Arabidopsis thaliana: one gene and its partner. The protein of the gene in region 1 interacts with the protein of each later gene in a pairwise test. Each region holds a gene or a part of one and is shown in the gene's direction. Other genes may lie near its edges.

Region 1 (4,216 bases):
TCGCGAGGTTCTCAAAACCCACGACATCACTTTCGCCAACCACGATCTCCCTGAAGTCGGAAAGATCAACACTTACGGTGGTGAAGACATCCTCTGGTCTCCTTACGGTACCCATTGGAGGAGACTTCGTAAGCTCTGCGTCATGAAGATGTTCACTACCCCAAGTCTCGAAGCTTCCTACTCCACTCGCCGGGAAGAAACCCGACAAACCATTGTCCACATGTCGGAAATGGCTCGTGAAGGATCACCAGTCAACCTCGGAGAGCAAATATTTCTTTCCATTTTCAACGTCGTGACAAGAATGATGTGGGGCGCCACTGTTGAAGGAGACGAGAGAACGAGCTTAGGAAACGAGCTCAAAACCCTAATATCTGATATCTCCGACATAGAAGGGATTCAAAACTACTCAGATTTCTTTCCGTTGTTCTCAAGATTCGATTTCCAAGGATTGGTTAAGCAGATGAAAGGCCATGTGAAGAAGCTTGATCTCTTGTTCGATAGAGTTATGGAGAGTCACGTCAAAATGGTGGGAAAGAAGAGCGAAGAAGAAGAAGATTTCTTGCAATACTTACTTAGAGTTAAAGATGATGATGAGAAAGCTCCTCTGTCCATGACTCATGTCAAGTCTCTCCTCATGGATATGGTTCTTGGTGGTGTCGACACATCGGTTAACGCATCCGAATTCGCCATGGCAGAGATTGTGAGCAGACCGGAAGTGTTAAACAAGATCCGACTAGAACTTGACCAAGTTGTTGGCAAAGACAACATCGTTGAGGAATCACATTTACCTAAGCTTCCTTACCTACAAGCGGTTATGAAAGAGACTCTTAGGCTTCACCCTACGCTTCCTCTTCTTGTTCCTCACAGAAACAGCGAAACCTCGGTGGTTGCGGGATACACTGTGCCTAAAGACTCCAAGATTTTCATCAACGTTTGGGCGATTCATAGAGATCCTAAGAATTGGGATGAACCAAACGAGTTCAAACCTGAGAGGTTTTTGGAGAATTCGCTTGATTTCAATGGAGGTGATTTTAAGTATTTGCCTTTTGGGTCAGGAAGGAGGATTTGTGCGGCGATAAACATGGCTGAGAGACTTGTTCTGTTCAACATTGCTTCACTTCTTCACTCTTTTGATTGGAAAGCTCCTCAAGGACAGAAGTTTGAGGTTGAAGAGAAGTTTGGTCTTGTTCTTAAGTTGAAGTCTCCACTTGTGGCTATTCCTGTTCCAAGGTTGTCCGATCCAAAACTCTACACAGCTTAAGTAAGAAGGATGTTGAATTGAGTTTTCTTGTTTAAAGTTTACTTTTCTTTATCTGTGTCTGGAGTTTTGATGCTTTGTATAAAAGATGTGTCAAGTTACATTTTTGATAACATTTAATATAACAAAGTTTTACTTACAATAATAACGCCTAATAGTCGATGCCAAAGCTATAAAACTATATTGTAGTTATATTTTTGGCAAGTCGATTAAAATTCTTGGGTCAACAAATTACAAATTAGTATGAAGGTTACAAATTAAAATTGTAATTATTTAAATTAATTAATGTATAATTATATCACAAATACTTCACGTCACACTAAATGAGTCCTTCTTAGCGGCAAAATATGCGTTATTGGGCTAGGCCCATTTATAAACGACGCCGTTTACACAGTCTAGAAACTCAACATCGTCGTTTCTCTCCCGGCGACTTTATCGCCGTCTTTTTCTTCTTTAAACTCTCTGGCTAATTTCGTTTTGCTTTGAGCTTGTGAGCTACTTCTGATTCCGGCCATCACGCAGCTTCAGGTTAGTTTTTGATTTAAATCAAACAACAGTACATGGGTTCAGTGTGTTGTGTCTCGAATGGAATTGGTTTCTGTGTTTAGATTAGGGTTTAGGGCTCTTTCATCTAAGGAAACGAAACCTAGGTTATACGAATCTCTTTGTTGGGTCTCTCTCAATACCAATACCAATCAACGAAAGGATTAATTTTGTTCATCATCTTCAACGTCTAAGGCTATAATTTGTGTTAGTTCAAATTGATTCAGAATAAAGTTTGGATTTTTACTTCACCTAGTCCTGAATTTGTTGTTCTCTGTGTAGAAAGTTTCTGTTTTTAAATCAAAGAAATGAAGAAGAAGATGATAGCCATTGGTTTCGAAGGATCAGCTAACAAGATTGGAGTTGGAATTGTGACTTTAGACGGTACTATCTTAGCAAATCCTCGGCATACGTATATAACACCACCTGGTCATGGTTTTCTTCCTAGAGAGACTGCACATCACCATCTTGACCATGTTCTTCCTTTAGTCAAATCAGCTTTAGAGACTTCTCAAGTTACTCCTGAAGAAATCGACTGTATTTGTTATACGAAAGGTCCCGGGATGGGAGCGCCGTTGCAGGTTTCAGCCATTGTTGTTAGAGTATTGTCACAGCTTTGGAAAAAGCCAATTGTTGCTGTGAATCATTGTGTGGCTCACATTGAGATGGGGAGAGTAGTTACTGGAGCTGATGATCCTGTTGTGTTGTATGTGAGTGGTGGTAACACTCAGGTGATTGCTTATAGTGAAGGTAGGTACCGGATTTTTGGTGAGACTATTGATATTGCTGTTGGTAATTGTTTGGATCGGTTTGCTAGAGTCTTGAAGCTTTCTAATGATCCAAGCCCTGGTTATAACATTGAACAGGTAGATTTCATTTGAAAGTAAAGTAAATTTGAATTCTTGAAAGATTCAAGAACAATGTTAACACGGTTTTTGGTGTTGTTACTAGCTTGCTAAGAAAGGAGAAAACTTTATTGATCTTCCGTATGCTGTTAAAGGTATGGATGTATCGTTCAGCGGAATCTTGAGTTATATCGAAACTACTGCAGAGGAGAAGCTCAAGAATAACGAGTGTACACCAGCAGACTTGTGTTATTCCCTTCAAGTAAGGCTATCACTTGGTTCTTAACTGATGAATTTTGTCACATGAATGCAAATTTTGGACTGTTTAAGAGTAATATCATGAATTCATGTTTGTTGATCTTGCAGGAGACGGTGTTTGCGATGTTGGTTGAGATCACAGAAAGAGCGATGGCGCATTGTGACAAGAAAGACGTTTTGATAGTTGGCGGTGTTGGGTGTAACGAGCGTTTGCAGGAAATGATGAGGACTATGTGCTCAGAACGTGATGGTAAGCTGTTTGCAACAGATGACCGTTACTGCATCGATAATGGAGCTATGATCGCTTACACAGGTCTACTCGCGTTTGTTAATGGTATTGAAACACCGATCGAAGACTCTACCTTTACACAACGATTTCGCACAGACGAGGTTCATGCGGTGTGGCGAGAGAAAGAAGCTGTACTACTTGGGGATAAGAAAGTTGCAGCGAATTGAGTCTGTCCCCATTTTTGTTCATTTTTCATCAAATTTGAGATTGAATCTCTCTCTACTCGATAAATTGGTTTTTGCTAAGTAGTTAAGACTTTTAAATGTGTTTTATTAGCCAAATTATATGATTGATATCTTTTGGTTTGAATGTAATAACACTTTCAAATTTCAAAGTGAGCTTTGTAAAAAGTTCAAATGTTTCTTGTGTTGCATTTCGCTATTTGTTTTATTGCTTTAATAAAAATATGATATCTCAAAGTCGACATTTCTACCGAGAATGGTGGAGAGATTAGTGCATTAGTCTTCCTTAATCATACAAAAACAACTGTGAAAATACAGCACTACTAAAAAGTAAAAAGTAAGAACTTTTTAATGTAGAACGTATGAGATGGTTCAATTAATCACAAGACACTTCTATGGCATTGCGTATTAAACGAAAAGTGAGTAAATAGAATTTATACATAATGATCTAATCTTGATCTTGCTAATAAAAATTGTAAAGGCAACAACAAGTTGTCAAAAATTTCAATTTGACGTAGAGATAAATTCTATCTAATAATTTTGTAAAAACATTCGAGATATAGTGTATCATTTTTCCATCATCTAGAACTCATTTGCGTATTTTCAAGTGTAAATCAGAACCTTGACACATAGGCTACACAAATTTTGGTCGATATTTATATTACTTTTGTAGCATAATGTGGATATCCTTCTAGAGACTAGAGTTCTAGATAAAACATTCATACATGTAACTATGTAAGTAAGCATGCATACTAAATATAAAATTTTCAAAAGTTTTAAAAGACATCATATAGATTCAAAAAGACGTGGGAAAAAGGAGAAAATGACAAAAGTTATTAGT
Region 2 (6,374 bases), 3.3 Mb from region 1:
TTGACCTAAATGATGAGCAATGTATAAGTAAACAGGAGTAAGAATTTCAAAGCTTGACAACAACGAACACTGAATGGTAAATTGATGAGTCCAAACCTTAAGACCAAGGTAAGTGAGAAGCCCTTCAGGATCCTTGAGATACTCAATATCGGGAATAAAGAAACCATGATGCTTATGCATGTGAAGCATACAGCTCTCTAAGGTCTTATGTTTTTTGTCACACATCAAACAGCAGGTTGGATCCAGCTCATACTTATCTGCATCACCATCATCATCCATATCTTCAGCAGATCCAGACTCATTCACATTCAACTTAGACAAAGAATCAGAGGCTTCTTCAGCAGCCAATTCCTCGTCAGAATCAACCTCCACCCATTCATCTTCACTATCATCATCAATGGAACCCCTGTGTTGAACACGGCGAGGAAGTTGCCTGATAATCGCTATATCCTCCTCTCCGTTGATTGATGTCCCTTGTGAAACCCGCAAAACATGGCTACGCGACTGAAGATGCTGCTCATGAGCCTTGGAACTCCTGTAACCTTTAGCACAGATTGCACAAGTATAAAGCATAGGTGCTTCATTTGATTTATTCTTCTCCTGAGCAAGAGCAGATTGTCTAGCCTCAAACAAGGCTTCTGTAACTCCAGGAACTCCAGCCACCTAACATAAAAAATTACAGAAATACAAAGATTCAAATGCCTAGAAGTAACCAAATCTATGATTATTGAAATCCTTGTTCCTTAGTAGAATAAGCTTCAAAACAAATTTTCATATAAACTCTACGATTCCATAACCTTAACTAAACAATTTCGATAGCAAAATGGAAAAGCTGTTTCTCAGAAACTTTCATCTCATCACCGACGCAAGATTTTCCCGAGAAACAGATAGGCTTGAGTTCAAATTCGATAGAGAAAGCAGAAGAAATGAAACCTTGCGCTTGAGATTGTAGCGGTGCCAATCGGATTTGTAATGAAGGTTACGTTCTTCTTCGTCCTTGAACTCCATGTTACACGCGTTACATGTTAAACCAGGCATCTTCTCTCCTTCAATATCGATCGATTCTAGAAATGGAAACTGGAGAAGAAAAGAAAATCAGAGAAAAGATAGTTGGGAGGATAAGATTTGTTGTTGATATGTGTAGAGCAACGACGGCTCGTAAATGGATCGGCGATCGTGTTTGTCTCTAAAAAAGCGTCGATTGATGATGATTGATTGCCATCAAAATGAAAAGGAAGGCGCCCCGCCCATTTTAGATCCGATCGGGTTGGAACTGACCCGTTCCTGACCCGATACAAGAGTAGCCCATTTGGCCCATTCTTTTAGCCTTTTTGTAACACTGACACAGTTGACGAATTAAGTATTACTGTATGAGTAACCAAAAAACATTTTTCTAATATTGTTTTTAAAATAACTACTTACAACTTGATTAATTACTTCGTTTAATCATGTAACTTTTTTTTCTTCCAAATTCTAATCTCTCTATTAAATTACTGCATTTATAAGATCTAAACATCATGTGATATGTTCAAAATATGAAAAGAGAAGAATATAATACATGATTTTACTACGATTAATTTTTTTTAATCGCAATGTTTTGTTTTTGCCTAATTTTATTAGTGGAAGAAATTTTAACCGCAGGCCTGTAATTTAGGAAACTAACTATTCACCCCCAATTAAAAAAAAAAACAAGAAGACGACAAATAACGAGAAATTACCAATTTTTCCTCAACACTTTCATTATTTCCTACAACGAACTTCTCCCTCCTCCTCTCACTTTCACCATGGATTCCGTCTCCGGTTACGCCGCCGGAGCAGGTCAGCCTCGAGTCGGTGGGAAAATTGTTCGACCACGACGCACCGCTGTTGTCAGGACGCCGTGTGAGCGCCCCGTTCAGAGATCCCGAGATCCTCCTCAGCAAAACCCTAGTTGGATCTCCAGGCTCGTTTACAAACCCGCCAGCGTAATTGCTTCCGGCGCCGGAAAATTCATTTCTTCCGTCGTCTTCTCCGACTCTTCCTCATCTTCGGAGGAGGACGAGGATTCATCTTCAGGTTTGTACCATTTATTTCAGTTTAGATAGGATTAATTTGAATTTTTGGTTTATTGTCTGGTCGAATCTGAAAGCTACCGTTTCGTTTGAAATGTGAAGTTTGACTTAAAGCTTTCCCATTTTCTCTTTCCTTTAATATGTGGGACTTAAGAGCAGTTAAGCATTGTTGTACTCTATTTAGTTAGGTTACTTCTAAGCTATAAACTTCATACTAATTCTAAAGCTCTAATTTTTATTCATATAATGTAGTTCTGGGATTGAGAATACCAACCAGCTTTGTTGTGTCTTATTCTTTTAATGTATGGATTTTTATATGTTTTCTTCTTTGTTTGCAGATATTGATGGTGATGAGGATGTTGAGAAGAACAATCCCGATTTTACTGAAGAGGTACTAACCACCTTGTTCGTTTTGGTGATTGCTATGCCACTGTAGTCCTATGATAATTGTTTGAAGTAAAGTTCGTGAAGCTAACACGTTTTCAACTGAGAGTTTTTTTTATAAAAGCATAATTTCAGTTTTTGTGCTTGTGTGAATAGGACCTTCTGAGTGCCCAGCAACCAAGCATTCAACGACTCAGTTCTAAGCGTGTAATTGAGCAGCTTCTCTTGCAAGAAACATTTGCAAGGTATTTCTCTGCCTGGCTTTTTGGACATCATAAGTAGCAGCCTCCTCGACTATTCTTATTATTTACACCTCATAGCTTAAAGAATCTTTCTGAGACGTGTGTAGTTACCAAATCTAAGCTGATCTTGTATCCTGCTTATTCATTCATGTGTATGTTGTTTCAGGGAAGAGGGTGATAGGTTAATAGATATCATCAAGGCTAGGGTTGTAGATCATCCCAGCGTCCCCTCTGCTATTGAGACGAGTCATGATGACTATGGATTGACAAGCGGTATGTTACTGATGGTAGACTGTGCAAGTAGACCGGATTAGTCTATGTGATAACGTCTTCTTTTCTATTTTATTTCTAGACGTGAATGTGGGTGAAATGTCCAATACAGCTGTCATGGAAGCAAGAAAATGGTTGGAGGAGAAGAAATCAGGATCAAGTTCAAAGTATAAAGTAAGTTCTGGAAACTTGCTTCTTAACTGTTCTAATTGCTGCAGCCTGCAGGTATCAACTTTTTTGTGATATCTTGTCTCCGTGCTCTAAGCCATTATTATTATAGAAGGAGACATCTTCTGTTTGGGTAAAATGATTTGATTGTTATATGCCAATCCATGTGATCAGCAACTTAAAGCTCTCTTGCAAAAGTAGGTTGTTCAGAATTCTGCGTGTGGCCATCTGGTGACGTTAATTCTGAAATGTCCTGATTGGGAAATACCTTTTTGTCCGCTTAAAATGCAAAAGATCCATATTGTTGCTCTTCTTTTGACTATGAAGACCATTTACTTACATGATTTTGGTCAACTTCTGATAGCTTCGCTTCACAGTATTCTTTTTCCATTGTACTTTAAATGATGATCACCATCTCAGCCATTAGTTTAAATCTCCAGGCAACTGAAGATGGTGCTGGATCGCCTGTGGACGTGGCCAAGTCTTATATGCGAGCTCGTCTGCCATGGGGATCTCCAGCTGCGAATAATTTAGATTTTCGATCACCATCATCAGCAAGAGTGCAAGGGACACCCCTTCCTTATAGCGCTGGAAACTTTTCCTCATCCAAGGTTAGAATTTTAAGTTCTCCAGCAGTGCATACTTTTCTTTTGGTCAAATGTTGTTTGAAAGTCTGAAGTCGTTTCATCTTGGTTTATGAGATAAAATTCTCTGCTTAACTTCTATTGTTTATGTTAGATAACCACGAGGAATTTGTGGGACACTATTTCCAGCTATTCCTAAAGAAAAGTTGCATACCGTTATATGTATTTTCAATGGCTCTCTCAAATTTACCCTTATTCATTCTGACATTGGTTACCAAATGCAGCTGAAAAGGAAGTCCGGTTCTAATCAGTCATGGAATATTCAAGATGAAATTCGCAAAGTCAGAGCTAAAGCAACCGAGGAAATGCTTAAAAGTCCCAGTAGTGTAGCCTCTTTGGAACCTAAATACAGCCCCTATGTTTTAGCGACTGATATGCTCAAAGGAAATGCTTCGTCTTTGAATGCTGATGGAGGTGTTTTTTTTCTTTCTTTATTCACACGTGGAAGAAGTTTTTCAGTAAGACATGAGTTGAAACTGAAATTAACTCTTCTTTTCTGTTCTTTCAGCTGTACGGAATGAACAAAGCAGAGCTCTACCAAATTCAGCCATACCTACCTCTGAGCACAATCAGGTATCAAGCACTCTTTACACTATGTGTCTCTCATTACCAAGAAAAAACTTGCAGTTCCAATCTTTCTTGTTTTGGTGTCCTTGTGTGTTTTACTTGAGTGAAGACTACGGAAGCTAATCAAGCCGTCAAAGAAACAGGAGTTTTACACACTAGATCTCGTTAGTTTCTCCCTTAATCCTTAATTTGTATACACTCTCTCATCTTCGCTTTTTATACTCTGTCTCATGGATTTAATGTGTTCTGATTAGGTGGAGTTGGTTTGGAGGAGACATTTATCTCCACACAAGGAGTCAAGCCATCTGAAGATACGAATACCGCTCCTCAAAGGTTCTTTTTATTGTGCTTATCCTTCCAACACAGATTGTACCTTGTTTCTTTTTGACAGATATGTTTTTTAGTATATCAATCTTCTGAAGTTTTTCAACTGTATGCGACAGTGGAACTGCTGTAGATGACTTCAATGATCAAGATGGCGATTTTATCCAACCTACTTCTACTATCGGAAACACCACAAATGGTATACATTGGATGTTGAATTCCTTTGGTTCTGATTTTTAGTTGGGTTCTCTTAATTTACTTGCGCTCCTATTGATGCAGCTGTCTTGGCTCTTGGGGCAACTTTGGATCCTACTGGGAACTCTTGCATCCCTAAAGATGTGTTTGAAACATCAAAAGAAGCTGATGAAATAGGCGCATCACGTCATACTTCTAACGGTTTCCCATCTTCATCACCTAGGTGAAAAGCAACTCCTTTGTCTGGCTAGTTTGACATGATGACATTATTTCCTCCTAAGCAAAGCCTTACTTTTTCAGTTCACCAGCGGTTATGGAAGGTCAACCAAAACCCACACCACCAGAAGAAACCAAGGCTTCTCAGCCTATAGCTGAAATTCATGGTGATGATATGACAGTAGGGAATGGCTCAGATGGTGCAATTAATAACGAAAGCAATGACAGCCACTCAAGTGCCTCTAACAGTTCAAGCACCCATGAAGAAGAGTGGCTCCCAGGAGACCAGTCTCTACCTAACTCAAACTCAGCAAGTAGCAGCCCGGGAAATACCAAGGTCTTGGCATACAGCAGAAGAGGAAGAGGCCGAGGTAGAGGAAGAGGCAGAGGAGGTCGAGGCAAAGGACGGGCCAAATAAACTTTGTAAGATGAGCTGTACACAACAAACACAATGCAGTAGGAGAGTATTATGATGAGGTAGGATTATGTGACATCTCTTTTAGATTTGAATCCCACTCTGTTTGTGTTTGGTCTTTGGTCACTTCGTTATCTTTTTAGGTTATCTTGTAGTATTTGAGTTAGGAGGATTTGTCTTGTCGAGTTATGTGGAATTGTGTCTCTGTTGTTTCTTTCATTTGTCTGAAATCTCTAATGTTTAATGTTGTAAGTTTGAAGCTTGGTTTCGTTCCAGCTGACGAAGCTTTGTAGTTTGCAGTTTCCATATGTTGAAACTCTTTTTCTTTTGTTCGATGCCAAATTTTTAAATCTTTTTTACTTGACCAAAAAGCCAACACCTAATTTTTTTGGGGGAAATCTCAAGTACTAACACCACTCATCTTTTAACCTCGTAAAGTGTCAAGTAAACAAATTCTGACATGATCCAATATTAGATGAGATCACTCAGATCAAAACATTGTAAGATGAATATAATCAAATGGGTTCAATCTAGTGTTACACAATCTCTTACCAAAGTACAAAAGCAATAACGAGCGAAAAGAAGAAACCCAATAACCAATTTTATCAAGACAGACAGAAAGAGAGAGAGAAAAAACAAAACAGACAGAAACAAAAGTGAAGAAAAACGAACAACAAAAACCCAATAAGCAGCGATCGAAGCTAAAATAAACACAGAAGAGCGAAAGCGCTCAGACATTCAAATCTGAAAAGCCATACGAAAGAAGAAGCCACGAAGATTCAATCGAAGCAGAAGTGTATTATTAAGAAGCCGAGAAATCATTGGGTTGGTGTCGGAACTCGGAAGTTACTTGTTTTGTTCCGATTTTTCTTTTGTCTGAATTCTTTCTGGTCAAATC

Evidence for each region.
Region 2: the proteins of AT4G22720 (region 1) and AT4G31430 interact in a two-hybrid assay, tested with the Arabidopsis thaliana proteins (one large-scale study listed by BioGRID).

The regions. Positions count from the first base shown.
Region 1 is NC_003075.7:11,935,358-11,939,573, forward strand, and holds AT4G22720 (Actin-like ATPase superfamily protein), read left to right. Parts: upstream 1-1,584; 5' UTR 1,585-1,786; intron 1,787-2,083; 5' UTR 2,084-2,109; coding exon 2,110-2,667; intron 2,668-2,752; coding exon 2,753-2,908; intron 2,909-3,012; coding exon 3,013-3,360; 3' UTR 3,361-3,612; downstream 3,613-4,216. Other genes in the region: CYP706A2 (cytochrome P450, family 706, subfamily A, polypeptide 2), read left to right, coding at 1-1,261.
Region 2 is NC_003075.7:15,246,726-15,253,099, forward strand, and holds AT4G31430 (flocculation protein), read left to right. Parts: upstream 1-1,651; 5' UTR 1,652-1,784; coding exon 1,785-2,055; intron 2,056-2,389; coding exon 2,390-2,442; intron 2,443-2,591; coding exon 2,592-2,680; intron 2,681-2,843; coding exon 2,844-2,950; intron 2,951-3,029; coding exon 3,030-3,121; intron 3,122-3,555; coding exon 3,556-3,726; intron 3,727-3,983; coding exon 3,984-4,173; intron 4,174-4,267; coding exon 4,268-4,332; intron 4,333-4,435; coding exon 4,436-4,490; intron 4,491-4,580; coding exon 4,581-4,659; intron 4,660-4,769; coding exon 4,770-4,849; intron 4,850-4,929; coding exon 4,930-5,068; intron 5,069-5,145; coding exon 5,146-5,479; 3' UTR 5,480-5,834; downstream 5,835-6,374. Other genes in the region: AT4G31420 (Zinc finger protein 622), read right to left, coding at 1-5, 97-663, 934-1,038.